Linked DNA regions of Zea mays. The protein of the gene in region 3 binds, or shares a complex with, the protein of the main gene of each other region. Links are inferred from orthologs where the notes say so. Each region holds a gene or a part of one and is shown on either strand. Other genes may lie near its edges. The genes, in order: Photosynthetic NDH subunit of subcomplex B 5, chloroplastic-like; oxygen evolving enhancer protein 3 containing protein; Photosynthetic NDH subunit of lumenal location 4, chloroplastic.

Region 1 (10,314 bases), on a different chromosome or scaffold from region 3:
CGTACATGATGCCTCTAAACCAGAGCCATCTGCTGCAGGTATGGTGTACATTTCTGCCCCCGCCAGCGAACTCTGCGATTTTCTGTATCGAAATCGGTTCGAGTTCTCTGGAGCGTGAAATCATGTGTTGTTTTCCGGCTTACCATGGTGCCTGTGTTGTTCAGGAGGAGTGCTGAATTTCGATTGATCGCAGGGGGGGGGGGCGATGAACGAACCGATCAGCAACCCTCATTTGATTAGTACTTCATTCAATCTGTTATTGCTATTACTGAGTTCAGGACTCAGGTAGCAGTCGATGCCACATTGTTAGATTGCGATCTGCAAAAACGGTACTGGTTCGTAAATAAAATCAACCCAACGTGTACACGCACAGCTTCAGGCTGGTCCAAGCAAAAACTGCATTCATGTTTTTGCCTGTACACTGCAGCGTACTCATATTGGTTTCATCAGTAAGAGGGTGCTTATGGGTGCAGAATGCCATAGTGAAAGATGTTTTATTGCATTGCATTTAGTTAATAACATGCCATTCAAAGTATTGTGGTAAAATTTCTTCTGACCCGGACATGGCGCGGAAAATTTGAACGGTCCTATGGGAGAATTATACCGGAAAAGAGAAGGGTATGCGTTACTAGTAGCTTCCCCCGAACTTGCTGGTGCCATGATCAAAATGTGCTTTCCCAATTTAGCCACTGCACGTTGCCTCATAATTTCTAGTTTTTCGATATCCGACAATTCCCCGTTTTTATCGTTTGGTAACATAATTGTCTCTCTTTTTGCCAGATTTATGCGTTACTAGTAGCTTTGTCCGTAACGCCATTTTCATGATCATGATCAAGATGCGTTTTCCGAATTTTGCAGTTGCACTTCATCACAAAATGTCCATTTTCAGAATGTTTTCTGTTTGGTAATTTAATTGCCTTTTTCCATATTTATGCATTACTAGTAGAGCCATCCGTAATACTGATGTCATGATCAAGATGTGCTTTCCTAATTTTGCCACTTGAGGGCAACAAAAAAAATGATGCATATGCAAAGAAGTATATTTTTCCCCAGCCTATGATAGGGCTAGTTTGACCAATCCATGGTATCAGTGTCAATATATTATATAGCACTAGTAATTTAACTTTATCTATTGATCAACCAACCCATGTATACATGTTTGTTATATTTATCCACTATCTGAATTGTTTTCTAGTTCATTGGCTGGCATAACCAGCAATCTGTACATTCGCGTTCTTCCTTATGAATTCAAATATAAACTCGAACAAATTTAATGAACTACTCTTTAGGTTTCAGATATCTGCAGATTTCATCACCACAGCTACAAAGATTACTGCGCTACTCTGAAGGAGGATATCCAATACTAGATGTCAGGACTTCTTGCAGAAGCTCTTGGAGCTGCTGCAGGAGGATGTGCACTACTACTTATTGTCATAATTATAATAGTACTTTGCCTACAGCATCGCAAAAGAACCTCAGACTCTTCAGAAAGTGGTTTTTCAGATCAAGCTCTACCAGGTACTGCTTAAGTTACTTTCAATAAAACTTTAAAACTTCAGATAATTCATCTAAAGATACATCTTTCTTTCTATTTTCATAAGTAATAACTTCGTCTTCCACCTATCAGAGTCGCAGGAAGCAAGATGTCTTAGTTTAGAGGAATTGAATTTTGCTACAAGGAATTTCAGCAATGGCAACCTTATTGGACAAGGGACGTTCGGAGAGGTATATAAGGGTTTGCTCCAGGATGGCACAATAGTAGCTGTTAAAAGACGGCATTCTCCTCCTAGCCAGGAATTCATTCAAGAGGTAGCATAATCTTCTTACTTATCCACATGTTCAGTAATTTCTGGTCCCGAATTCGTCGAATGTGCTGTGTTTTAACTTTAGTTTTTTTTCCACATGACGTCCTGTTATAATTTGAAACATAGCCCAGCTTGCTCCACACCCTTCTGACATTGTTTTGAGCTCATGTGTCAGTGCTGTTTTCTTGTCAGGTTAATTATCTAGCATCTCTCTGTCATTGGAACCTTGTAAAACTTTTGGGGTACTGTCAGGAGGATGGCATGCAGATGCTTGTTTATGAGTATATCTCCAATGGCAGCGTATCAACACATTTACATGGTGATTTCCATTGCGTTTTTATCTAACTCTAATGTACAAGAGTAGTGTCATAGGTTCTAATTTTTCTGCTATACTTTTGTAGGTAACAGCCATGCTCTAGGTTCAAGGCTAGAATTCAAGAAGAGACTTTCTATTGCTCATGGCACAGCTAAAGGTAAGCCTTCACAGCATATCGGCTTAGACGCATTCTTCTGTAGCAGTGTCCTTGTGGCAACTACATCAACAATCTTAAATGGCGATATTTTCTTGCTATCCAGGCCTGAGTCACCTGCATTCGCTGACACCCCCTGCGGTCCATATGAATTTCAAAACTTCTAATGTACTTGTGGACGAGGACTTCGCACCAAAAGTTGCAGATACTGGGATTCCAGGCATGCTTGATCGACTTGGTGTTACAGGACTGTCTTCCAGAACATTTAATGATCCTTTCGTGGAACCTCGGTAACAATGGACACACATGTTTCTGATAGTTCTTACATTCATTGCTTACATCAGATAGATACAGTAGAATCATCTGCCTTGAATCTGCTTTGCATTATTTAAGATCGATGGAACTTCTGTTGCATGATCAGAATGAAGGAAGCTATGAACTTGAACTTTTCCATACAAAGCGATGTGTACAGCTTTGGCGTATTCCTTCTGGAGCTAATTAGCGGACGGAAAGCTGTCTCTGATCAATGCATCATTCAGTGGGTAAATAATGGCATCACTGCTTGATGCTTGATGTTTGTCCACCCTTCTCTGCAAAATAACATACCCGTCTCTGGACAGATCTTTTTACTCGTCTGTTCTGTTGATGTGCAGGCACAGAGCTTCCAGGAATCAAGTGACATCTCCGTGATCGCAGACAGCAGAATGGCCGGTGGCTTTACCTCACAAAGCATGAAGGAATTGCTGAGCCTGACAGCACGGTGCGTAAATCCGACGAGCGAGCAGCGCCCGTCGATGAGCTCGGTGGAGGCTGAGATACAACGGATCCGCGAGCAGGAGATCAGCCTCACAGCAGTCATGGCGGAAGGTACCCCAACCGTGACTCTAGGCAGTCAGCTCTTCAGAACATCCAGGTGAAACAAACATCAGTGGGATGTGTAGTCTAGAAGAAAAGCTAGTTCTCTCCTCCTCAGGGCAGTAGACCAGCCTTGTTCTCTTTCGGAATTCGGGAAAAAAAAGAAGAGCCCGTCTTCATAGCGAGCCAGCTGCATCCCAAGTGTAAAAAAAAAAGAGAGGAAACAGCTGCGAGGCTTACCCTTTTTTTCTCCCCAGTTTTGTTACCCTGATGGTTCCTTCCTAATTCTCCCTTTTCTGCACATGTTTTTAGGGGAATTAATGACATTTTCCTTTTGTTGAATAATAATAAGAATGGGTGGGTGGTGGCAAACCAGCGGCTCTTGATTGTTCAGCGCATCAGTCTTGCATGTGTTTTTTTTTCTCTTCCCTTCAAAGTATTGGAGAAAACATGAAAACAAAGGCAATTCATGCAGAAAGTTGAAGCAACAGTCTGCAGAACATGTCGTGTATTATATGGCACGAGGATAGAACAGATTTTCAGGCTCTCCAGTCTTACAGGAAGGATGGCTTTCCTTTTTATTCAAGAGATTTTCCTAGCAGCTACAGCTTCCTTTCACAGGGTTTTTTTTGCTGTGAGGCAACAATCTGAAGGGCAGCGAGCGGTGTACGCAATGCATCTAGGTCGACTTGACGATGTCGTCCCTGGTGTTGACGGTGAAGTCCCAGAGCTCGCCGTACTTCTCGTTGAAGTCCCAGATGTCCATGGAGTTGTAGTCGGCGATGAGCTTGTCGCGGGCCGACCTCTCCATCATGTAGATCTCCGGCTCGAAGTTGTGCGGCTTGTCGGGCTTGCCCATCTCGATGACGCAGAACACCACGATGAAGACGGCCGCCCCGATGTACAGGTACTCCCCCTGGCGACACAAGCAGACGCGTCTCCGATCCGATCAGTAGATGCAGGTGACGAGTTTTTTTTTTTTTTTTTTTTGGGGCACAAATGCTTGGAGCGCAGGAATTTCACAGGAAACAATTCACTTTCCCGACAGAAAGCACAATTCACTTCCGACCAGGAAACTTCGTGTTCCAAACAGGGGACTAGGTACTGGGAGGAGGAAGTGCTGGATCCTTACCGGCACATTGAAAGCCATGCCGAGGATGATCGCAGGAGGAAATGCCCAGGAGATGAGTGCTGCAAGAGATCGCCGCCATTGATGCAGTGCAACAAATGAGCAAGGCAGAAGCATAAAGATCTGAAAGAGCTACACAGTAGTGGTAGTACCTTGAAAGCCCTGAGGAGGCTCAGCTTCTTGGTACCACTCGGAGACATCCTCCCAGAAGCCCTTCTTGTCTTGGGAAGAAAAGCGGGGGGTGTTGCGGTTGTTTGCAGGTTTTTGTTTCACCACAGCACAAAACAATCAGTGGACTATTATTTCTTTTTCTTTTTGCAATGAAGGATATCATATCATGAACAATGGAGTTCTTATTTTTTTCTGGGAGGATAGTAATACCTTGGCCTTCGAAATAGGTGTGGTGTCCGTCATACTTCCCGTACTCGAAGTCCTCCTGCAAGACAAGACAAGACAAGACAGATCCTCTCCAGTGTCATCCACGAACGAACGAACGAAACGTACTCCGTTCTTCAGAGCTCTCGTTCATAGCACAACCTACGTCAAGGTTCACTGCTTTCCTGCGTGTTCCTAGTCTAACTAACTAAGCGCGGAACGACAACCGAGAAGAGAAGAGAAGAAAAGGAAGGAAACGAGGGACGACGACGACGGACCGGGCTGATGCCGTTGGTGCGGTACACGTCGATGGCGTCCTCCTCCAGGTCCGGCTCGATCTCCGACAGCGGCCCAGGCCCGGCCCTCACCACCACCGCGCCGCCGCCCGGCCTCCTCCCGACACTCGAACGCCGGCGGCCGGCGTGCAGCAGCTGTGGCCGCGCCGCCGCCTTCACCCTCAGCTGCTGCGGCGCTGCGTCATGGCGGCGCCGAGCGGTGCTGGGCGCTGCAGATGGCGAGGCAGAGATGCCGGAGGACAGGCTGCTCATTATCTCGCCGCGGTGCTGCGATCGCTGCTGAGTGGTGACTGGTGAGTGCTCCAGCCCCCGCTGCTGGCTGCTGCTGCACTTCACGTTGCGGCCAAGAGACAAAAAAGCAAGCGGATAATGGTGCGCTGGAGTTGGACACCTACCGTCCAGGATTTTTCCGCTGTCTTTTCCTGTCCCTTTTTTCGTTTCTGGAAATAATCAGCTCATAAAAACTCGGTACGATTCTGTGGAACTGAACACCTACGGACGTCCCACAGTAACCCCTCCCCCCGCCAAAAAAAATCGTGATTCTGTGCGCTATATTTGTAAGAAACTGTCGCATGTGCTTTGGTCAACGGACACCAACAAAACAAGTGAGAACTCACTCTTTGTAGGATTATCTGTAACCCTGTCCTTTAAATTTTTCCATGTATATGGAGTGGTTCTTTCTAAATTCTCTCATACACTACACAACGATTTTTTTATAGCGACCTATGGTTGGTTGCTAGAACGTCTTCATCAACCTAGGGTTTAGGGTTTAGATATACACAGTTAATTAGTAGTACAATGGTGCTATGTTTACAAATAAATATACAGTACTAATTTGCATGTAAAGCTCTAACTGAATTCTTACCAAGCATCAATGGACACTAGAACATTTGGCGGCCTTGGGGTGCCCTCGAGATTGCGATGTCACAAGAAGACCCGCACATGACATTGTTACAGATCAGATCCTTAAGCCTAGTAATCAACAAACCAGTTTCTTAAATTAGTATTATACAAAAAAAATGCAATTGCTCCCAGTTCTTTTGGTATCAAGACAACATAGTCCCCCATCTTCATAGTAAGAGAAAAAAAGGCTAGCATCACTGCATCAATAAACTGCCCATGCATTTTTTTTTACTGTAATCGAACGATGAGTAAAGCTCTGACATCACCAGTACTCTACTCGTGAACGCCTCGAAGCCCTGCCTCTGTCCTTACCAGTTGGCGGAGAGTCAATGTGACTCAACTTCAGTCTGGAAGGTGAAAATAAAGCAACAAGACACAAATAAAATGAAATCACGTTGCTGCACTGAAAATACAGAGATGATTTCGTGCATAATCTCTCATACCGAACGTAGCAGAGCTGTCGTGGTACTCAACGGGTGGAGTAGCAGAGCTGTCGTGCTGTGGCATGCTGTTGGCGAAGACGAGAAGAACCAGACAACAACTCTGTGCGGATGGATAGCGGATGAACAACAACACTCCACATTTACCGGTCGTCGAGCTGCCGCTATATTTTAGCGGACCATTTGCCGGTTCTTGCTGGAGCGATAGCGGACACCGAGAAACGCTAAATATAGCATACCGAACGCTTTAGCGCCCCTTGTTGGAGACAGCCTAACACTACCAAGCCTCTCGATTAGAAATGGTAACAGATAAAGACCTGCCGGGTTTTGCTACCCCAGACTCGGTTCCGTCAAACTAAAAACTCGCCACTCTAATACCCCTACTTGTGCACGGATACAATTTCACACTCATACACGTACTCGTGTGGGTATTTTTTATCCGATGAGTACCCATACTCAATAAGGAAAAATGCACAAATATAACAAATATTAATAATACTATCTCTGTATTTTATTTGTCGCCTGTTAGTTCAAAAATGAGCTAGCGAATGAAAAATATTCGAGAATAGAGGTAATATTAGGTCTTTAATATATATATATTTAGAGAGTAATTGTTCAACCGCACAATTGTGTTGGGACTTCTACTCAGGTTGAACCGAGTATAGGTGTGAGCAGTGAGCATGCTGGTGGCGTGCGTCCAGAATTGGACGCTTCGTGCTTCGAACCTTCGACGCTTGGACTCTGACAAATCAATAGGCTAGGCTAAAACTCAAGATAATTGTTGGTTATATTTCAGATATATTTTTACTCACAGGAATACAGATATAGGTTAAATGAGTATGCAACTGAACCCGCTCTACCTGCTGGATCCATGTTAAGTGCATGGATAAAGTATAGTTTTCCCCTTAAGACGCGGATGAAGAAACGCAGCTGGGGCCTTGAGCACGGAAGATTGTTGGCCGCGGATTGAGGAATGCGGCTGAGCAATTGATCGATTGCTATGAACTGGGAACGAAGTGGAAACGCGATATCTCCGGTTACAGATCCGCAGTGTTCGTTCGTCTCTTCACCGGCCGGTGGTACCGAATTTTTTTGTATTTTAGCCCTTAAACAGAAGTAAAATCACGTTTAGACCTAAAAAAATTTTAAACTCAGTTTTGGACCCTTAGCTCGGCGCCATAGGCCATGGCGCCGAGCTAACACAGCTCGGCGCCACAGCCTATGGCGCCGAGCTGTGACGTGGCATCAACGGCTAGCTCTGACGTGGTGCCGTAGCTCGGCGCCACAGCCTATGGCGCCGAGCTATGACGTGGCAGCAACGGCTAGTTGCGGCCCGGCCTCGTAGCTCGGCGCCACAGATCTTGGCGCCGAGCTACAAATTCCTATAAAAACGCCCGCGCGGCTGGCCGAGAGCAGCTCATTTCATCCCATTTCCAAACTTCGTCAAAATTTGCTGGATTCAAAGATTTGAGTTGGTTCACTTCGTAGACCAAGGTATGATTTCCAACTCATTCGTTTTGGATATTGGGTTGTTAGTTTAATAATTTGTATACACCTATTATATTATCATTTCGATTATTAGTTTGTGTAAACTTATTATAAAGCATAACAGGTACAGGTGATAATTATAATCGTTTATTAGATGAAAGACATGTACCGAGAGGCGTTGTGGCAGAAGAGAGGTCGTCCTCGGGAGTTATATCCGGACGTATCTAGCAAGGATGCTCCTGTTCCTCCTGAACTCCCCGTGCCTAACTGTGACTGTGGCAGACTGTCTTGGGTACATCAATCACAACATCCAGACACGGCTGCTCGCTGCTACTACCTTTGTGGCACTTTGGACGTACGTAGCTTATGACTTGTCACTTAATTTTGTTCGCATTCATTATTTTGTAGATATGTAATAGTGCATCTTTCCATTATTTTAGGGACATCAGAGGTGTTTCTTTTTCCAGTGGATCGATGGTCCTGATAAATTTGACCCTCGATATCTTCTTTTCGTTAATTGGTTGAGTGGAAAGACCAGTCATGAGCGTTTTAAGCGTTGGGTACCTCCTCCCCCGAATCCTCCACCAATGACGGATGCGGAGAAGGAGGTAGCAACAGAAAGACATGGTCACGATCTTCCATATGTAATATGGGACAACAAACCCTGAATTGATATGCGGAGGAGGTAGCAACAGAAAGATAGATGCTTATGGGAGTGTTACTTTTGATGGTATGAAGATCGTGACCATGTTGTTCGTTGAAAGACCATCTTTTGACCAGCTTTTGGCTCGAGCTTGTGAGGAGATTAGTTGCGACATAAACGACCCTAGAATATCAATTCAGGGTTTGTTGTCCCATATTACATATGGAACAGTTGTCCGACGGTATAGTGTTACTAGGCTGTCCATCTATTGCAAAAATGGATTACTAACTCAATAATGGCTACATACTTAAGCCTACTAACGTACTAAGTAATAAATATATATTAACTAATAACTATAGAGTAAATATTAAATGAACACATCAAACGAAATTACATAATCTATAAATAATGTACGAAGACATTGTATACCTGAGAACGCGTACGAGTCAAGCTAACGGTGGAGAAGGTCAAGTCGGACGAACACCTACGTACAAAAAAACCTATTGTCAGTAAAAAATTTGGCAGCACCTCCCCTGTAAAGTGATGTTTATAGAACCTGCGAATAAACGACAACACGATGGTTGCCAACAGAAATACTAACGAAATGGTTAACACGATGGTTAACACGATGGTTGCCAACGAAAATATGTAATATCAATAGCTAACTAACAATATGTTAAGCACTAACAATAACAAAAAAATATGCTAAGCACTAACAATAACTAAACAATATGCTAAGCACTAACAATAATTAAACACTAACAATATGCTAAGCACTACAATAACTAACAATAACTAAACAAGAAAATATGTTAAGCACTAACTAAACAATAATTAAACACTAACAATTAGCTAACAATATGCTAACATTTTAGCAACTAAGAAACTAACAAAAATAAAAAAAACCTACTGCCGAAGGAGCTCGGACGGCGCGGAGGAGCTTCGACGGCGGCGAGCAGGGAGATCGGACGGCGCGTAGGGACGACGGAGGCACGCAGGGAGCTCGGCGGCGCGCTTGGAACTCGGCGGCGTGCAGGGAGCTCACAACGGCGGCGGCGGCGTGGCGCGCAGGGAGCAGAAAACGGCGGCGGCGCGGCGCGCAGGGGGCAGCGGCGGCGGCGAGCTGCGCGCGCGGCGCAGCGGCGGCGACGAAAAAACGGCGAGGTAGCAGCGACAAACAGAGAAGGAGCGCGCGGAGAAGGAACCGCACACGCGGTTATTTCCTAGCTCGGCGCCAAGATCTGTGGCGCCGAGCTAGGTGCCACGCCATCAGCCACGTCACCGCCCGAGGCAATGGCCACGTCACAGCTCGGCGCCACAGCCTGTGGCGCCGAGCTGTGTTAGCTCGGCGCCACAGGCTATGGCGCCGAGCTAAGGGTCTAAAACTGCATTTAAAATTTTTTTAGGTCTAAACGTGATTTTACTTCTGTTTAAGGGCTAAAATACAAAAAATTCGGCCGGCGGTAGATCCAAAGCAAGATTTGGCCTGCTGTTGGGCTGAAAATCGACTGTGGGCCGGATCAAATGAAGTACTGGGCCGAACACGAACTGCTACGGCATGAAACTCTTTAATGTTCTCTCTCTCTCTCTCTCATTTTTTCTCCCTATGACTATGATGGTCCAAACGCGAATGTTGCGGTACAAATACTTCCAAGAGAAAAACAAAACGGAATGTATATACTCAATTGCCACGGCAGGATTGCTTTGGCCGGCCGACTGCCAGTGCGCCAGATGCTTGGTTAGATGTGGTCGAGCCGCTCTACTCAAATGACTGCAACAAGACACTCCGGTGCGTTACTCTTACATTCCATCATATAGCCATGCGTTTAGCAACTGTCTCAGCATGGATGCCAACATCTAACCAGCTGGTGCATCTTTGATGCAGCCGTACACCAAATGCCTTAAGTTGG
Region 2 (9,559 bases), on a different chromosome or scaffold from region 3:
TGAATTTGTTTATAGAGAATTTTATTGATGACTTGATTAATCTGTTGTCCTTCTAGTCTTTGCAAAATGAAGCCACAAAACAAAAGACCGATTTATTAAAGGAAGTTGAAAGTATTAGAATGGAGCTTCAACGTGCAAGGGAGGACCGTGACACTAAATCTGCTCAAGTAGATTCTTTGCTGGTTGATATTGGAACATACAAAGAAATGACTGGAAAATCCGTCATTGAGTTAGATAGCGCCATGGCAAAAACCTCTGCCCTAGAGGTATGACTATGTGTCTAAATAATTTGATTGTTATCTAGACAAGTGAAATTGGCTAACATGTTTTCAATGAAATAGGAAACATGTTCGTCTCAAAGGAAGATGATAGAGACATTGGAAATTAAGCTTGCAGCTGCCAATGAAAAGTTAAAGGTGTGCAAATGACTATTTCTTTAATAATCATTACTATTTAATGTATCAAGCGTTCATATTTTGTAGGAAAAATATTGCATATGTGTTTAATATCTTTAACCCTCTCTTAACTGTACAGAGGTCTAATATGACGGCCTCGGAAACCATGACCGAGTATGAGAACATGAAGAAAATGCTGGAAAGTGTTCAGTCTCGCCTTGAAGAGGCCGAGCAAACAATTCTGGAAGGAGAGAATTTACGAAAAAAGTTACATAATACAATTCTTGTATGGAATTCTCTTATTCTCAAAGATCCAGTTTATATAAATATATGTTATGTGGCTATTCCTGAATTTGGTTCTTTGCAGGAGTTGAAGGGAAACATCAGAGTATTTTGTAGAGTTAGGCCTTTGCTGCCAAATGAATCAGGAGCAGTATCATATCCAAAGAATGGAGAAAACTTAGGCCGAGGCATTGAGTTGTTACATAATGGTATAGTCATCATTACAGTCATTTTTCTAGTTTTAAATTTGATATATTATATTTGAGAATACAAATTATGATACAATTGCATTGCATTTCTTATTGTTTTCAGCACAGGGATATTCGTTTACTTTTGATAAAGTATTTGATCATTCGGCGTCACAAGAACATGTGTTCATAGAAATATCTCAACTTGTCCAAAGTGCCCTAGATGGCTATAAGGTATATCATTTGTATGACTATAACTGAGATTACCTTCTCTAACTCTAGTAACTATGATTTTTTTGGTTCGTTTTCCAATATCTAGTTTTCTTAGAATGCAACTAAAAACCAGTAAACCATTTAGGTCTGCATATTTGCCTATGGGCAAACTGGTTCTGGTAAAACATATACAATGATGGGCAACCCTGAGTTAGAAGATCAAAAAGGAATGATACCACGATCTCTGGAGCAAATTTTTCAAGCTAGCCAGACACTTAACTCACAGGGTTGGAGATATAAGATGCAGGTGTGTTTTTGGTAATTTACTTATTTAATTGAACTAACCAGTGGACAAGTTTTCTGTAACTGTTATCATGGTGTAATTTAAACTTTCAGGCCTCAATGTTGGAGATTTACAACGAGACTATACGCGACTTGCTAGCAACGAATCGCATGGCTGTTCAGGATGTTGGTGCTTCAAAGTACAGTATCAAGCATGATACTAATGGTAACACGAATGTGTCGGACCTTACGATCATTGACGTAACTAGTATCAACGAAGTTTCTTCTCTCCTTAGGCGGGCTGCTCAGAGCAGGTTACACTCTTATTTATTTTCAAAGTTTCAGTATTAAGTATTTTGTCTTAAGAGTATGTAATAGGAAAATTTTGAACTGATGATGAGTGTTTCTTTGGGTGCCATAATTTTTTGGCAGCTGATGTAGTATATGATGTAGCTATGTAAAGTCACTACATTATATTCCTACTCCCATTATAGGGTTATGATCAACTCTCAATAAGTTATAATAGAACATGGTGCAGATTGATATTTTCTTAAGCAAAAAGTAAATCTGGATGCTGAAGATAATCAGCTCAAGTTTAAGTTGCTTCACTATTCAACTTCACTATGTACTCCACACTACTTTGTTTTTTTTTCAACATAGAAGCTAATTTTCTTAAATCTGTATGGCATAACCTTCAGGTTTCTGTCATATCTCTGCCATTGTGTTCTCAAACTTCTTTTTCGAGTTCCAGAGCTTAGAATTGAGTGGCACATTGGACCTAAAACAGTCGTTTATTCATTTTGTCTTCAGATCAGTTGGTAGAACACAAATGAATGAGGAATCATCAAGAAGTCACTGTGTTTTCACTCTTCGGATTTTCGGTGTAAATGAGGTAATATTCTAGTTTTTTTTTTTGAGAACGCGCAGGAGAACTGCGCATCTTATATAATAAAGAGGAAGAGAAACATTACAAAAGAGGAGATGTTGCAAAGCAAATCTCCCAAAGACCCACAAAATTCCGAAAGAAATTACATAGAAGTACTGAAACTAGACCCGACCTCGCCCAGGGCAGCAACTAAGCCCATACTACCGACCTCCTTAGCTCCTGCTAAAACCCAGCAAACACACTCATCTGAGAAACATCTAAGAATCCTGGGCAATGAAGGAGACTCCCCATGAAACACTGCTCTGTTTCTCTGAAGCCATAGGCACCAAGCCCCCAGGATTATCAGAGAGTTAAGTCCCTTTTTCCTTGTCTTGGTAACTCTAAGGCACACCTTTCCCCACCATTCTGAAAAATTTCCCTCATCAGCAGTCGGAGTGAGATGCCCCAAGCCAATAGCAGCAAGAATTGTATGCCAAAATTGCCGGGCAAAAATGCACGTAGTAAGGAGGTGCTGAATTGTCTCTTGGACTTGATCACACATTGGGCAAACATCTGGGTGTGGCAGTCCCCTCAACTGTAATCTGTCAGCTGTCCAACATTTGTTTCTTATTGCCAACCAAAGAAAGAACTTGCATTTGGGAGGAGCCCAGGTCTTCCATAATCTCTTCCAAGGCTCAAAAACAGTAGAACCTAATAAAAAGACCTTGTAGCAGGATTTAGAGGAGAACACCCCTGATGTCTCATGTCTCCAAACATGGCGGTCTTCCTCCTGAGAAAGCTGCACATCTCCTAAAGTATCCCATAAGAAAAGAAATTGCTGAATTCCAATCAAGGAAAGGGGGGGGTTGATATGTGCAATCCACTGCCTGTTTTCAAGAGCCTGAACCACTGTCATAGAGGTAAGAGCTCGCTTAGCCACCTTGGACACCACTTCTGAAGCAAGATCTCTGATGGAGCATCCATTAAGCCACTTATCTGTCCAGAACAAGGTATTAGAGCCATTTCCCACATGAGAAATCAGGGATGCAGCAAAAAGGTCTTTAACATGTTGCTGAATGGGGATGGACAAGCCAAGCCAAGGCCTATCCCGATCTGTTTTTTGAAGCCAAAGCCATTTGGCTTGAAGGGCCCAACACATGTGTTGTAAATTAGGGATCCCAAGCCCACCATACTTCAAAGGTCTTGTGACTGAATCCCATGCCACAAAGCAGCTATTCTAGTTCACATGTGACGTTGTTTGGCATGCTGTCTTCTCGTCTATAGCTGACCCATTTTCTTTTCAGGGAACGGATCAACAAGTGCAAGGAGTGCTGAATCTTATAGATCTAGCAGGCAGTGAGCGCCTGAACAAAAGTGGTGCCACGGGTGATCGGTTGAAAGAGACAGTGGTAATTTGCTATCTAGTACTTGAGCATCGTTTGTGTTTTTCACTTATATGTATATATATTTTGTATATAAGGAGGAATAATAAGGATGGTTTTGTTCCGGCTTTAGGCTATCAACAAAAGCTTGTCATGTTTAAGTGATGTCATCTTCTCGATTGCAAAGAAAGAGGAACACGTTCCATTTCGGAACTCAAAGCTGACATATCTGCTCCAGGTATTGTTCCGACACATTGGTTTCGGCTAAAAGTTTAATCTTAAATGGTATCAAGTACTAACTGATGCTTTTGGCAACACAGCCGTGTCTCGGAGGGGACTCGAAGACACTGATGTTTGTGAATCTGTCTCCTGAAGCGTCCTCGACAGGGGAGTCTCTTTGCTCATTGCGGTTTGCTGCAAGGGTGAACTCCTGTGAGATCGGGATCCCCAGGCGCCAAACCCAGATGCGGAGCTCACAATGATGAAATACGGCGGAAGCGAGCTGCCAGTGTAATGCTTGTGTGTGTGTTGATTTGGTGATGCAACCGATCATTTGCATCCCCTTGTCTGGAGGTGGTGTGAGTTGCCAATTTTATTTGGTTTGTGGCCTTGTTGATTGCGCTAACGGCTGGCAGCGGTGGGTGTGCTGGCCTATTATATTAATCTTAGGACCTGATCTGATTTGTATGTTGGGATGTGTTGCCATTTTCAATTTTTTTGCTTTCATTCGTAGTCTTGATTTGTCGTTTGCCCAATGCCCAATGCCTCTGAGCTGAGCTGGGCGTGTATGTAAACAACTGTGTACCCGTTGTCGGACACGCACACAGCCTGACATGATAATTGTATTTCCCTGCTCTGGGAATTCTGCAATACCCCTTGTGAGTTTCAAGTATTCATTTACACATCATGATATATGAATGAAAAATTGTGGTTCTGCTAGGCCATCTTGGCCATGAGCTCCTGGAGGATGAGCTTTGTCTCGGCGTAGCGGTCGCCGATCCTGGCGTCGTCCTTGGCTGTGACGGCCTCCTGGAGCGTCTCGAAGCTGTCGAAGAGGCGGTTGGCGAGGTCGACGAAGGGCGGCTTGTCTTCGGCGGCGGAGATGAGCTTGTCGAAGTCGTAGTACATGAAGGTGGACTTGAGGCGGAGGTACTTGTTGACGTAGTTGGAGGCGTCCTTGCCCAGCAGGTCCTCCAGCGCCAGCAGGTCGAAGGCCGTGCTGCGCAGCCGGTACGCGTGCGCCGCGAAGCTGGGCCCGATGTCCGCCATGTAGATGCCGTTCTTGAGGAAGGAGCGCGTGCCCGTCTCCGCGTTGTTGATCTCCTCTGCCATGCCACTCATCGCCGACACAATTGTCAGTGAACCAAGTAAAGTTAAGTGGTGGATGGAGCAGGACGGACGGGACGGCTTACTGTTGACGATCTTGGGCACGGGCAAGGGGAACTCGGTCAGCCACCAGCCGTTGTTGGCCGGCTCGTCGTCGGTTTCGGCGGCGGAGGCGGCACGTGGGCGGAGCAGGACGGCGCACGCGATGCCGAGGAGGCAGGCTGACCTCCTGGACGGGGACGACGGCTGCTGGGAGGAGGCGGCGGCTTGGCACGTCACGTGCAGCGTCGGTCGGCTCGGCCGGAGTAGACGGAGGCTGCCACCGGAGAAGGCATGGCGGCAGCTTGCAGTCGTCGTGGTGGCTGCCGGCGGTGCGTTGAGATAAGTGGCCATGGGGACGGAGAGACGAGTGGATAGCGCGGGCGGGGCGGCACTCGCTAACGCATGAGATCGTAGCCGATAGAAATATCAGAAAAAAGTAAAAGGAAGAAAGCGGCTGCTGGCCGTTCCGACATCCTTCCGTTCCTGATGAGGTTTGCAGTTGAAGATGAATTTGGCCTGGCCTGTAATTTTTGGTACGATTCAAATCTGGATCACTCCTCCACTACTGAGTACTCACTCACTCCCTCAGCCACCACCGCCCCACCAGCCATCAACCACCACCAAACCAAGGAAGGCCACGAGACACAGGCACACAGGACGAGCAGCCAGAGCCGCCAGCCATGCGGGGCGGCTGCTACGTGGGCAAGGCCACCAAGATCTTCCTCGCCCTCCTGGCCGCCCTCGCCGTCGTCGGCGTCGTCCTCGCCTTCCGCGCCGTCCTCCACCGCGCCGCCAAGTCCAGCCCCGCCTCCGCATCGTCCGCGTGCGCCGCCGCCGACGCGTGCCAGCCCGTCCTGCCCGACACGGACCCCGCATACCGCTCGCCCGCCACGGCCGCCCGCCCGCCGCCCACGCCCACGCCCGCGCAAGATCCCGCCTTTCCCTCCCCGGACGCCGCCGCCTGGCCGCCGCCGCCCTCACGGCCGACGGCTGTGCCCGACACCCCTCTGTCGCCGCCGCCGCCGCCGGTGCCCGTGCTCCAACCTCCCGAGCAGCAGCTGCCCGCGCCGGCATTCCAGTCACCGCCGCCGCCGGTGCCCGTGCTCCCACCTCCCGAGCAGCAGCTGCCCCCGCCGGCATTCCCGTCACCACCGCCGCCGCTGGCGGAGATCGCGTCGCCACCGCCGCCGGACCAGCTGCTGCCGTCACCTCCACCACCTGCGTTGCCGTCGCCTGATGCGCCGCCGCCCGCCCCAGAGGCGCCCAGCCCAACGGCGTCTTGACTCAATCGTAGTCGTAGATGCCGACTGCTTCAGTCTCAGAGCAGGGCAATAGCTGTGGATTTGGTAGAGGAGTTTAGCCGCCGCCGTCTGCTGATGTACTGTTTCTTCAGTTTATCCTATAATTAATCCATCTCTAATTCAGGTGCAATTTTGTTGAATTCTTCAGTGTCGCCGCCGTCAGGATCCCACAGAATCAGCCTGCGCGCGCGCGCGTTTCTCTTGTCAAAAATTAAAAAATAAAACAAAAAAACCTAATCTCTGCTGTTCTCTTTACAGTTTGTTGTACTGTGCAGAATCTGCATTCTTTCCTAAGAATTCTCTAGCGTTTCGCGGCGAAATTCAGTGTGTAGCAGTACTAGGAATCACTGCCCTTTCACCTCTGCATGTCGGCTGGATTAACATGAATTGACCATGGACTTGCTGTTGACCACCTTGGGCCGTTGGAGAGAGATTCCCCAGCTCCTGCAGCGGCTCCACAGATCTACCCTCCACTCTGCATCTATCGAGCCGAGCACAAGACAGCGGTGCTTCTCTCTAAACGTGAATACAATTGCATTAAGGCTATCTACAGGTTTCTCATTTTAAACTTCACTATTTTAAACTTCACTATGTTGCACGACCATATACGTGATCTTTTGACCATAGCTTAAAAGAGACAAGAGAAGAGCCAACAACAGAAGGGGAGCTATGCCTAGAAATATTCTCCTACAGGAACAGCCGTCAGCAGTCGATTCACCGATCGGTCGGTGGACCTTGCACCGATCATCTCAACCAAAAAACTTAAGCATGGTAGGAAGATGTTGTCAATTCAATTACATTATATTCTAACAGTTTCGACATGCACAATGTTTTTCAATAAAAGGTTAAGAATGCAGTGGCATGGGTTTTGGTGAAATATGTGGAGTGCAACATGCACAGAGCTACACTACAGCTGAGTCGATGCACAGAAGTCATGGCAGCCACGACGGCGAGGGTGCATGGCCTTTGGTCACTGCCATGTCTGCCTGCCGGGGTTGGTGGTGGTGACCGCGGCGAGCGGTACGGGACGGGGACGGACGCCGGCAACTGCCTTGACCACCACGCCGCCACTACCAGCTAGCCAACTCTTGTCCTCTCCGTTCCGTGCTGGCTGCTGGCCTTCCCTCCATTGACGGCGCACCATTTCCCATGTGGACGACGTGCACCAAATCAAAAGACCACCCGAGTCCACTACATCCCCTTTTCAAATCAAAGGACTTCCGTTCCGTGCTAATTGATATAACTGTTCTAATAGCATTATAACTAAGATATATTTGATGCATTATAACAACCATGATTAATTGAGAGCATGTTATCGCACCCACTACTGTCAGACAATGCTAAAAAAAAGATTGTTCGGTACCAGTAGTACTGTAGTAGTAGTACTCATCATTTATTTTTTAAGAAGTCAAGACATTTGTGAGCATACATATATCATTCAGACCTTAAATACAGGTCGTGATCACCAAATACCAACTGTGTTGGAAGAATAATAATGATAAATTTATTGGATGATCAACAGTGACAACAAATACACTAATAATTCAAGTAGTAAGTACATCGTAGCAGTATAATTAACAATCGAATAAAAAAAAGGCCGGCAATTAAATGAACTCTTGTCAGCAACAACCGTCGGTGGGTGCGCCGCACTGACGACAATGCAATGCAATGCAATAATGAATCGCTGGAGTATATATGTATGTATATAATACATTTATCTGCAAAAATCATGCGCGTCACGCAGCACGACTCGCCCTCACATGGCCAAGAAGGTGAGCATCGTGGCGACGGCGAGCCCCACGACAGCCTTGGCTCCAAGCGTGGAGGCGTCAGAGGACTTGGGCGCCGGCGCCGCGGTGGGCGAGGACACGGTGGGCATCTCGTCGGTGGACGGCGCAGCCGGAGCCGCGGCAGGGGCCGGGGTCGGGGAGACGCTCCTCTGGTGCCGGGGCTTGGTCGTCTTGGCGGGGGCCGGCGCGGCGGTGACCGCGGCGGCGGCGACGGTGACCTCCAGCTTCATACCCGCGGCGCAGTGGCCGGGCACGCTGCAGATGAAGTAGCGCTTCCCTGGGGCCGACAGCTTCACGGAGGCGCTGCCGCCGGTGTAGGACTTCACGGGGTTGCTGCCGGAGCAGGCGTCGTAGCCGGCCTTGCTCACCTCCGTCACGTCGTGCGACGGCGCGAACTTGAACGCTGCGGCGGCAGAGATCCAGCGTGCATCACAAGAGAAGCGGCAGCGGCGTCGTCAGTTCTCTCTACTGCTTGTTTGTTGTGAGTTGTGACTGACAGCATGTTTGTTGCGCTGGAGAAGAAGACAGAAGAGAGAGCCAACTTACACAAGGTGTCGCCCTGCTTGAACGTCTGCTTGGCGGACCAGGCGTCGTAGCCGGTGGTGCCGCTGGCGTCCCAGGAGCCGTCGCCTCCCACGGGGTGGTCCGCCGCCGCGGCGAGCTGCACCGCCGCCAGAGCTGCCACGGCCGCGAAGGTGGCGAGGATGCTGGCCTTGGCCATTGCCATTGCCGTTACCTCCGATCTGATCTTCTCGTTAGCTTCCTGATGCGTATGTGGCTAACACCTACGTACTACGACGACCTGATTGCAGCGCAGTCGCTACGGAGAACCGAAGCTTGTTTGTTTTGTGTGGCTCCAGCATACTGGGTGGCCTGGCTTATATAGATGGAGCGAACCGGGGCAAATTGCAAAGGAAGGTGTCGTCGGAGCCTCAGAGAGGCTACGCCTGATCATGCATGCACGGTTAACGCGGCCGGGGTTGGTGGCGCCGGTGGCCGGACAGACAGAGAGACAGACGCGGCAATTCTTTCTTTTGACCTTGTTGCAGCTAGCTGTTGGGCTTTCCTTCCGCCATGTACGTTGCTTGCTTGCATATTCTAATCCATCCGTCGTCGGTCGGCGAGGCAATAAATGGTTGTTTACAGACAGATAGGTAGGTAGGTCTCCATGTTAGTCTGGCGTTGGAACGCGCCAAGTTCGGCAAACAATACTCGCCGCGTTCATGGCTGCCACACCCACTGTCCCCCCACCCCACCCCACCCCAGCATCGATCGGTGTCTTCCTTCTACTGTCTACTCCAACTCTTGGAAAATGTTTCATATCTTCCTGTGAGGGCCGGCGTGCAGCGGAAGTGACCCCAATAGCAGCACGCTAAGCTGTCAATAGCAATTCCCTGAACACGTTGTTCAGCAGTATGATCATACACCAAGAAACTTGAGGATAGCTCCAATAGCAAGCAATATGATGAACAATTAGTACATATGACAAGTAG
Region 3 (9,999 bases):
TGAAGATTGAGAGTTTGAAGCACAGACTAGACCCAAATTACGAGCAATGGGGCAGCGACGCCCTACTGAAACAGAAAACACACAGCTATTTCTCCTATCAGGATGGAAGCAGCCTGTGGACAACAATTTGGTGGATGAAAGCGCATGGTGGGATGTGGAAGTGGCCATCTGTTCCAATACATACCACAAAATTAGTTGAATTCTTACACATACCACAAAATTAGTTGAATTCTTACATAGCCAGCTAAGGGCTCAAATCCCCAACCGAATTGAATGCAGCGAGGTTGCAAGAGACTTTGTAATCACGAAATCTTGTTCATTCTAAGAGCAAGTTTAATAATAGAGCCTATTGTTGGCCTTAACTCTTTATCATGTCATACATAGTCAACAATAAACACACTCATATAATAATGCTGACTCTAAGGTTGGCTCTTAGATGAATTTTTTGTCTCTTTCATCTTTTTGTCTTGAAGCCCATGGATCACCTAGCTCTTGCATTAGAGTCAACTTTCTCTACTTTTTGATATCTCTTTCTTCCACGTAAGCAAAAGTATCATGTAAGCGGGCTTAGAGTCCATTATTGTACTTGCTCTAACATTGAGCGAACGAGAGATAAAATCAATTTTTTAAAATAGGGATCATTAGGATAGCCACTACAAGCAGCAACAACATGTAGATAGCAGCAACCGAATCCAATTGATACATCAAACAATTAGCACTAAGCAGAAGTAGGGTAAAGCACGAAGATCGCAAACCTGGGGAACCAAGGACGTTGAACCCTGGTAGAGTAGCGCCTAGGCAACTCGTCAAGGAGCGGACGACCCGAACGGTAGAAACGATCCCGACGAGATCTGTGGTCACGGAGATCGCTAGTGAGCGGCGACAAAACGTAGGACCAAGGGGCGAAAAAGGACCGGTTGTTTGCGGGCTCAGTGGGTCGTTCTCCTGACTTCTGGTCAGTTTTATAAAATGTGCGTAGTTTAAAATAGGAGATTTGAACAGAGTAAAATTTAAAATAAAGGATAAAATATAAAATTTAATGGAGATATCACCTATAGTATCTCGTAACTCAAACTTTACTTTATAAACAGTGTTATCTATAGTTATGCGTTCTCTATTTTATACTATCCACTAAAGATAGCCTAAATAGCGACCAGGACCGAGAGAGGCGACGGAAGATGGTTTGGTTCGTGGTGCATATGTTGTGCAATGGTGGAATGGCGTGGGTTGCTGCCCAAACATCATATTGGGAGCTGTTGAAAAAATATTATCCCTAAAAAACTAAACTCACATTAAAATGCTAATAAACAGTTACTTAAACTTTTTGTTGATAGACGTTGTCTACCCATCGGTCTTTGCGCTTGCTGTCGTCGGTTCTGCTCTCTGCCAGGAGCTGCATGCATGGACAAGGCTAGCCAGGGCGGCATGGACGACCTCAATGCTAATAACTTGTTTTATTTTGCAATTGTCTGCACTGCTGGATGTTCACTCAATCGGTTATGCTTAAAATGGGAGGCTAACTGATCAATTGCTTAAAGAAGGAGCTGTTGGAGGGTTGAAAAGACGTTATTTTCTCTAAAAGCATTTTTGGGTTGGCTTGTGGGTTTTTGGGTTGGCTTAGAGCAACTTTAACAGACTATGTATATAGTTTTGTAAAGATAAATTTAGCTAATATTAGAATAAAATTGTATCCATTAAACTCTGTAAATGACTCTTCAAATTTAGTGTCTCTTCATCCCTCTATCTTCGCTCTCTATTTTTGGATAGTGTGCTTCACTCTCCATTTAATCTGTAAATTTACTGAGGTTGTTGGATTACCTACACTTTTTCTGTAGAATCGATTTTATAGAGTAGCTAAATCAATAAATTTGACTAGCCTTTTTAGCTAATCTCTTGGAGTTGTTCTTATGGGTTTTCTTATAGAGTGTTTGATTTGAGGAATTAAACCATTCAAATTGAGGTGGTGCATCATGAGTTCATTCCTCAAATTTGGTGGAATGACTCTATTCCTCATATTAGTACTAACTAACTATAAGAAATGGGGTGGTGATGGATCAACTCATTCTATTCCACAAACCAAACAAAAATAGTGAGAAGTGAGAAGATGATAGACTAGCTCATTTCTCAAACCAAACACCCCATTAGAGATGCTCTAATGGCTCAAATTTTCAGCTTCAACTTACAACCTATAGGAGTCACGAGAGTTTCGGTTTCCTGCTGTTTCTTTAAATATAGTTTTGTTGGTCCGGTCGTCCGGATAAAATATTACAGAAAACATATATAAACTTCTGTGGTATGGAAAAAAATGTTCAAGGTGAATTAGTGATACTAATTCAAGGAAGCAAATGATGTACATCAAAGTTTGACTAAAACTAATTCAAAGGCGGAGTATATTTTTTTAGACATTAACAAAGTTTGACTTTATTTGGATAAAAACCTAAACAAATACAGTGTATGTTCTAAACTTATGCGGAGATGTTTAGCGAGTAAAACAATGGGTAGTTTGTTGAAACCGCGCTTGGCTGCAACTGGCATCTCACGAGCAACAACAGCCTCTGTTAACCTGTTCCTTGCTGCTCTGCAGCTAGCAATAGGCGCACCACCTTCTGTTGCTCAACATCTCTGCCCTTCCATTGTCGACAAAGCGTTTCTTAGAGACCGTTTGGCAGGCTCTGGTTTTTCTATATAAAAAAGCAGAGCTCTCTCAAACACTATTTTTTAAAACGGCTACGAAAAGTACATAAAAGTCATAACTATTTTTGTACTACACATAAAAACCACAAATAGTAGCTTTAACAAATTTAGCTCTAACTCTATCAATTTAATACAGGAAAATGATTCTGGCTCTAAGATAAACCGTTTCTGTCAAACGGTTTATGAAATGGCTTCGGCTCTACTAAAAATGCTGTTTTTATTTTTTAGAAAAAAACCCATTATTTTTAGGCAAGCCAGAGCTCTATCAAACAGGCCCGAGGAAACAGCTCTCGGCGCTCCCAGGAACCACCAATGACATAGAGCCAAAGAGGTGAGGTCAAATTGCACTGGAACTTTTTTTAGTACCTATAACCCAAGCCCAACCATCCCAGTGATGTGACAGTGATACTCTCTCACAAGCAAAATAGTTTCCCGATCCCGATGTGGCGCTCCAACGGCTAATGCGGCTTGGTCCTATCTTACGCTTTCGCTTCTGCAAATCTACGTCTTCACAACCCATGGAAATGGTGCCAGTGGTTTAGCTTCGCCTTTGTTGCTTCAGCAGCCTCCCCAATTCAGGCAGACAGCAGAGGCGGGCACCGTCTGAACCGGTCGATGAGAATTTTTGCTCCAAGCTACTACGGGCACACATGTGTCAGGCACGAGCGCGAGACCTCTCTGCACATCCGAATCGTGAGTGTTTAGTCGGCATGATTGATCGAATGCTGAAGGGTTTGACGCCATTCGCCAGTCACGCTGACAGTCTGACTGACACAAACAAATTCACGATTCCGTATCGGCTGTGCAAGCAAAGCTGGTGGCGCATGTGACATACACCTCCGATAACTTGCTCGCTTTGGCTGTATCAAACTGCTATATAGTCAACAATATGATTGGTCTTTACAAAGTTCCACAATGGCGTTATTACGTAACAAGGATGGTTTATATATATCATCATTTTATTCAATCCAGGTAGCTCTCTGGAGTACAGAAGCTTCTGCAAGTGGCTCTGCCTCTGCAGGTGCTTTCACCGCCAAGAATTCCTCCTGAAACCCTCCATGTGTGACACACGAAAACGATCGGTTACTCTGGAAAGAAGGACGTGAGTCACAGAAAACCAGGCGAGTTCAGAATAACGCTGTGCACGGCACACATATCAGACAGACCTTGTCTCTGCTCTTAGGTTCTGAACATTCCCTGTCATCGAGGGCTCACTTGTAGATCCCGACGAGGAAAAGGTCATATAGAAGTGTGGAGTTTCCGGGGATGTTGCAGTCTCCTGTCAAAAAAAGAAAAACAAAAGAAAAAACTAGAGAAGCAGTCTCCTTGACAATTCTAGAGCGAGAGCAGTTTGCTTATCTATGGTGTACGAAGTCATTTAGCGCAGTTCTGAAAATCGACCTGAGAAGCAGCCTGCCGGTTCAGGCCCGTACGCCAGTGACGCAGGTATCATCAGCTTGCGCTTTCCACCTGAGGCAGGTTTGCAACGGAGTCATCAGTCATGGAACAGCAAGCCAAATTAGCAAAGCCTCTATATTTAATGCACAGCTAAAAACTGCTCAAGTTCCTGTCCGTACCAACAAGCATGGGCGGCACACCGCCGCCGCCACTGATCCCCTGTTCAAGCCCTCGGAGGATCTGCACGCGGAGAACGCGAAAGAAACAGACCATCATTTTTTACTGGCATGAAAACTGAACGTCGTTTTCAGTGAGCGACAATGGATGCTTATACATGCACACCTTGCCTGCGCCTATGCGCATCGTCAGTGGCCTCCCGCGCTTGTAGCTGCTGTCGAACAGCGTACCGTCGGGAAATCTCGCGGTGTAGTGCACCTGATGACCATCGAGAGGACGAATATAATTAGGATCCGAAGCAAGCAGCACACAGAACGCAGAACAGGATGGCGGCATATGTTGCTGAGTTACTCGTGCAGAAGGGAAATGGACCACTGTACTATTACAGAGTAGGTTAAGTCAGAGGAAGGCGCAAGGCATGCAGGAAAGAAGAGACGGTGGTCTCGGTACTGACATTGATGAGCTCGCCGCGCGGGGGCTGGACGCCGGTGCCGACCTCGACGTCGCAGTACGCGAGGCCGGACTTGACGAGGCTCAGGTCGCACATCTTGTCCCCGACCGTCGCGTAGTACTCGATGCGCGTGGCGCCGGCGTCGCCCGCCGGGGACAGCAGCGCGGCCGAGGCCAGGAACCCGGCGCCCAGCGCCAGCAGCCCCCTCCTGCCCGCCGACGCCGACGCCGCCACCGGATGAGGAGTCGAGGAAGTGGACGGCGACGAGGACGACGCGGAGCCGCAGGGCGCGACGGAGAGCGCTCTGCCGCTGGTCTTCGGGAGCGGCGGCGGCGGCGTCGGGATTGGGCTGGACGCCATCAGAGACGACAGGGACGTGATGGGTGGCGCCATGGCTGCTTGTGGAGTGTGGATTATTATCCCCAGACTGTGGCTGCAAGGCGCGCAGGCTCGGGTCTTTATAATGACGCCCCGAAATTCGTCGCGCGGAGGCAGCATGGGCTCTGGATGTTTCAGCCGGCCACTGCAGCAGCAGGCCCGTGGTTTTACCGGGCCGAGCCGCAAGTTTCGGGACAGTCTACAGCCCACGTAGTTTTCTTATTTTAATCATTTTCTAAATCAATTTCTAAAAATTAACATCAGAGTAATTTTGTTTCTAAAACCAACCCGTATGACCGTGTAAATCTCCCTGCCGCGGACAAATACGCTGATATGCGACCCCGTTTGACGTGGCAGGTCGTGATCGATGACATGGCAAGTGTTGTCTGTTTTGATTGGATACATTTCAATGCACTTCAACCCCCTCTTCCAAGAGTATCTAAACTAGGCCTAAAATGCTTGATGGTCAAAGGTTTTCTCTCAATAAAACGGGATTAGTTTACACCATAAGAATATCGAGGTGACCTTTATAAGTCGCAAAACTACTTTTGTGAAGGATAATGATGGGTTCCGGTCAAAATGCAAGCAAGTTATGTACTAATGCAAGCAAGTTATGTACTTATAGCAGTACTGCAAGAACAAGAATAAAGGTACACCTTCTATTAAATTTGATTCTTATTATTTACTTGCAAAGTATACTATGGTATAAAGACAAAATTTATTAGAATATCTCTAATAGCTTATCCATCTTCATCTCCGTATTCAAATTTCACTCCACAGATAGTGCAATCTACTGTGCATAACAGTGTTTTGGATAACCATGTGAGTAACTGCTAGACACGATCTTAGTGCATCTATTATTGTTCCAAAGAGGAAGATAATATGGATTGCCAAAAGTCTAGTAACTATTTAGAAGAACAAACAAGTTTGGGTATTAAAAAACTTTTTTTAGATAAATTATAAGGCTCAAGAAAGATATTTAGGATTTGACAGTGGATACACACACTCGTCACCATCCTATAATTTACGTCGCTAGCTGCGGCCACCAGCATCTTTTTTTTTTCCTCACGTTTTGATGATATAACGACACAACGCAATACAAAAAGTGAACCACTTTGCCTAATGCCAACCAAAAGTACAATATAGGACCTGGTTAAGATAACAGCTGATGGGAAAAATCTACACCAATTTTTTTGGGGGTGCAGCTTTCAGCTGTCAGGTGCAATCATCTTTTAATCTCGGCACCGTAGAAGTGAAAATTTCGGAGTACCTTCTCTCCCATGTTTTTTTTCAACTGCATGTATAGTAGTCGGCTGCCTAGTCGCCTGTTTGGCCGATTTTTTTTGCATTTTGGCTCTTCCTCGGAAAAAAATTCACGATTAGACCTTATAAAAATTTAATGTCATTTCGACTGTTTGTACATGTTGTAAAACCTGGCATGGAGTCCCTGTCCCGGCTGGCAAACCAACTAGTAGCCTACCCGTATTTTTTTTGGATGAGTCACGCCGGAACTAGAAACACTGAAGCAAATTTTTTGTGCCAGTGTGATTAGACAAATCCTCGTACTACTTTAATCTCAAACAAAAACACATTATAAACTCGTTGTGAATGTCGTATTAGTACTCCCATTGCGCATTTGTCTATGTACTCCCATTGCGCTGCGGCTGCGGGTAGCCAGGCCCTGTCTGACAAGGAAAGGATCTAGCGAAGAGGATTAAATTAAACAATGGGACGGTTTCCTCATCAACGGCAGTAGGCGATGAAGTACGTTGCTGGGCATTTGACTCTGAGAAACAGAAGAAGTTGTTGTCAGCCGGAACCTCAGTTATAGCTAAATCTTAGTTGTAACTTTCCGCATATCCAACTTCACACATATTCGAATCTACGTCGTCTAGATTCATCTTGTTTGTCTGCCGACCACAAGACGACCCTATGATCTTACCCATTAGGGGAAGCAAGATCTAGTTGTCCATTCGAGATACACTACCTCAACTGTCTTTTAATTACTAGATGACTCCACATCGGCTAATGACGTACCGGGTGGCTGTCGATCTGGAGTATCCTAAGATATCTCTCCTAGGGGCGAGATCTAGATTCCAAGGAGGAGAAAGACGAACCCCCGCCATCGAAGACAGTCCGGTGCGATGCAGGGAAGGTGTCGCTCCTGCGCCCAGGTCGCGGACCGTCCATCACAAAGCCGCGGACTGTCTGTGCCACCTCTAGGGCACCGTCAGACAGTAGACTCTTAGTGATCGGTGTCCAGATCGGCGCCAACACATTTTTTAGGTAAAACAAAGTGTTTTCGATAAAAGATTGGTAAAACAGCTTCATACGGAGAGAGAAATACATAGATAAGATTGAGAAATAAGAAATTGAGACATGAAAACCTTTTTTTGTTTGTCCCTTTCCCATTGTGTCAAAAAAAAACTTGTACTGTTTTTATAGTGTTTTCTACTGTTTTATGGTTTTTTTTATCTTTATGGATTACATCTGATCTTTATGGATTACACCTGCAGCAGTCCAAACAACCGTCTTTAATCCGAAGCTTATAGTTAATGAAATAGTTCATAGTGTTTCGTACACCACAACAAAGTTCTTTTTTTTTCTTTCTATTCCTCCGTTTCCATCCGTTTGTTGTAAACATGCATTTATTTGGTCCGCTCCGCCCCTTGCTCTAGCTCAGTAGTCAGTAGCCCTCCAGATCGCGTTTCCCATGTGTCGAATTCTCAGTTTCCAGGAGGACGATAAGGATCCCGGACGTGACAAGCCAATTGTCAAGCCAACCGCTGTTCATCAAAGCCCCAAAGTAAACAGTGCCGTGCTTTTTACGCCGTGGAAAGCACCAGGTCCATGGATGGGTCACTCATGTAGGCACTAGAGTAGGCGCGCACATGTGTAGTGTAAGGACTGTTGGTGCTCGGTCATGGCCGGTCAAAAGCTCGTGTGAGTTAGGCTGTGGCGGCCACCGTCGTGTCGTGTGTACTCGCGCGTGTCAGCAGGCCTGCCGCTGTTGCGGCGGCCGTGCAGGTGCAGCACAGCGGTGGTTGCTCTGCTCCTGCCAGGTGGGGCGACCGACCGACCGATTGATTGCATCGAGAGATTGATCAGATCACGGGCGTCTCGCTCTCCCCTGGCTCTAGGGTCTAGGCCATGCAGCCAGGATCACACCGTCTAGAATGTGCAGTGCCGCGCACGACAACACCACGCACTTGTCACCACACCACACTGCCAGGCCAGACTAGACTGACGAGCTTGCTCTCCTAGCTGGGACTGGGTGGGAAGGGAGCATATTGTCAAATTCTGCAGCACAGGCACAGGCGCACACAGCCGTGTCCGCTTGACAGCACAACATGTGGGAAACCAGGACAGACAGATGCCATGGCGGACGAGAGTCTGTTGTTGTTGGCTTGTTGCAACCCGGGTACCTGCCTTTTTTCTCTCTCTCTCTCTTTGTTTGTTTGTTTCGACAGACAAGAGGGGCTATGTTTCCAGAGTCACATGCATCAACAAACTATAATAATAAATCACTGACGCATGCATCACTGCCGGAATCCAGACTCCAGAGCTAAAAGCTGTATGCACAGGCGCTCTATAGCATGGCGGAATCTACCGGGCCGGGCCGACCGATCGGCCGGCGTCGCTGCTCCCGCTCCACCAGGGCGCAACAACACACACCCCGCCCGCCCCCTTGCGCCACTCCCCCGGGGGGCTCCTAGGCGGCGGCCACGGTCTCCCCGCCGCTGCCGGACTGGTCGGAGCCGCTGGCGCCGGACACGGACGGGGCCTCCTTCATGGAGGTCACGGAGCAGGTCTGCTCCATGCGCTCGTCGAGGTCGTCGTACTCGATCTGCTTCTCCCGGCACTCCTGGCTGCAGAATGCCACCTCGCCCCTGCACGGCACGGCGCAGACAAACAGAATCCAGCTATCATGTCATGTCATGTTACATTACATCATCCGAATTCAGGGAGAGAAAAACAAACTCTTTCAACCAAGAGGTGGATGAGGGACCGTGACAGCTGATTAAAAAGAACTTGTGAGATAGTATACGGTTCCAGGTGACGAGGCTTACATATCATAATCAAGCGACAGCTCGTTTGATTGGTCACCTAGTATGTTTATGTGCCTCATAATGTAAAAATGTGTGTGCACACGATGCAGCATCAAACTACTCGTGAACCGAACCAATAGAATAATTGGAAATAAATACAGGCACCGAAAGGAAGATTCGCATCAAATATTCCTTCCACCAAAAAAAAAATACTAGAGGGAATTAGATTCACACACACTCAGCGAGTACTGTGACAGCTGATTAAAAAAAAACTATTATGTGCCTCATAATGTAAAGTAAAATAGGGGCCATGAATATGAAGGGAAAAGATGCGATCCTAAGCAAAAAAAAAAAAAAAACAAAAAAAAAAAACCACGCCGACTGGAACCTGTAGATGAAGGTGTCGTGGCCGGGCCCGAGGTGGCGTTTGCAGAGGCCGCACGCCTTCAGGAAGGCCGCCGTCTCCACCGCCGCGAACGAGGTGCCACAGTAGTAGTAACCCCCCGGCACGGCCACCATCCCGGCGCAGGCAGCCGGCAGTGAGCAGGACGACGGCACGCCGGCGCCCCGCTCCTGGCGCCCCTGCTTCGCCGCCGACGGCACCGTCACCATGCTGGCCGTGCGCGGCAGCACCCTGCTCCTCGGACGCTTCCCCAGCGCCGTCCCGGCCGACTCGATCCGCTCAGCCGGCTCCATGCCCTCCTCTCCCGTCGTTCCTGCCGGCTGGCGCGCCCCTGTGGTCCTAGATGGGCTTTCTCGTCGCGAGATTTGGAGAGCGAGGAAGACTGGTGGTGGGTGGGGACTGGGGACTGGGAGAGAGGGAGGAGGGGTTTTGCGGAGGAGCGGCGCATA

The links.
Region 1: Photosynthetic NDH subunit of lumenal location 4, chloroplastic (region 3) and Photosynthetic NDH subunit of subcomplex B 5, chloroplastic-like share a complex: the UniProt entries of both Arabidopsis thaliana proteins name them as parts of the chloroplast NDH complex. The link is inferred for Zea mays from reciprocal best matches to the Arabidopsis thaliana genes PnsL4 and PnsB5.
Region 2: Photosynthetic NDH subunit of lumenal location 4, chloroplastic (region 3) and oxygen evolving enhancer protein 3 containing protein share a complex: the UniProt entries of both Arabidopsis thaliana proteins name them as parts of the chloroplast NDH complex. The link is inferred for Zea mays from reciprocal best matches to the Arabidopsis thaliana genes PnsL4 and PnsL3.

Annotation. Positions count from the first base shown.
Region 1 is NC_050098.1:158,246,864-158,257,177, forward strand, and holds Photosynthetic NDH subunit of subcomplex B 5, chloroplastic-like, read right to left. Parts: upstream 5,226-10,314; 5' UTR 5,183-5,225; coding exon 4,913-5,182; intron 4,696-4,912; coding exon 4,641-4,695; intron 4,481-4,640; coding exon 4,412-4,480; intron 4,322-4,411; coding exon 4,263-4,321; intron 4,047-4,262; coding exon 3,810-4,046; 3' UTR 3,656-3,809; downstream 1-3,655. Other genes in the region: putative transmembrane protein kinase family protein, read left to right, coding at 1,368-1,518, 1,628-1,809, 1,998-2,124, 2,207-2,278, 2,382-2,565, 2,697-2,817, 2,929-3,192. UniProt on the Arabidopsis thaliana protein: NDH shuttles electrons from NAD(P)H:plastoquinone, via FMN and iron-sulfur (Fe-S) centers, to quinones in the photosynthetic chain and possibly in a chloroplast respiratory chain.
Region 2 is NC_050102.1:1,242,898-1,252,456, reverse strand, and holds oxygen evolving enhancer protein 3 containing protein, read right to left. Parts: upstream 5,424-9,559; 5' UTR 5,327-5,423; coding exon 5,020-5,326; intron 4,933-5,019; coding exon 4,544-4,932; 3' UTR 4,436-4,543; downstream 1-4,435. Other genes in the region: kinesin-related protein11, read left to right, coding at 57-266, 342-416, 535-681, 763-886, 990-1,099, 1,224-1,385, 1,475-1,674, 2,171-2,252 and 3 more; vegetative cell wall protein gp1, read left to right, coding at 5,656-6,258; uncharacterized protein LOC100280976 precursor, read right to left, coding at 8,033-8,469, 8,613-8,793. UniProt on the Arabidopsis thaliana protein: NDH shuttles electrons from NAD(P)H:plastoquinone, via FMN and iron-sulfur (Fe-S) centers, to quinones in the photosynthetic chain and possibly in a chloroplast respiratory chain.
Region 3 is NC_050100.1:216,377,694-216,387,692, reverse strand, and holds Photosynthetic NDH subunit of lumenal location 4, chloroplastic, read right to left. Parts: upstream 5,133-9,999; 5' UTR 5,114-5,132; coding exon 4,724-5,113; intron 4,528-4,723; coding exon 4,435-4,527; intron 4,333-4,434; coding exon 4,272-4,332; intron 4,165-4,271; coding exon 4,096-4,164; intron 3,974-4,095; coding exon 3,906-3,973; 3' UTR 3,861-3,905; intron 3,783-3,860; exon of another isoform or gene 3,741-3,782; 3' UTR 3,466-3,740; downstream 1-3,465. Other genes in the region: uncharacterized protein LOC103627751, read right to left, coding at 8,811-8,988, 9,536-9,843. UniProt on the Arabidopsis thaliana protein: NDH shuttles electrons from NAD(P)H:plastoquinone, via FMN and iron-sulfur (Fe-S) centers, to quinones in the photosynthetic chain and possibly in a chloroplast respiratory chain.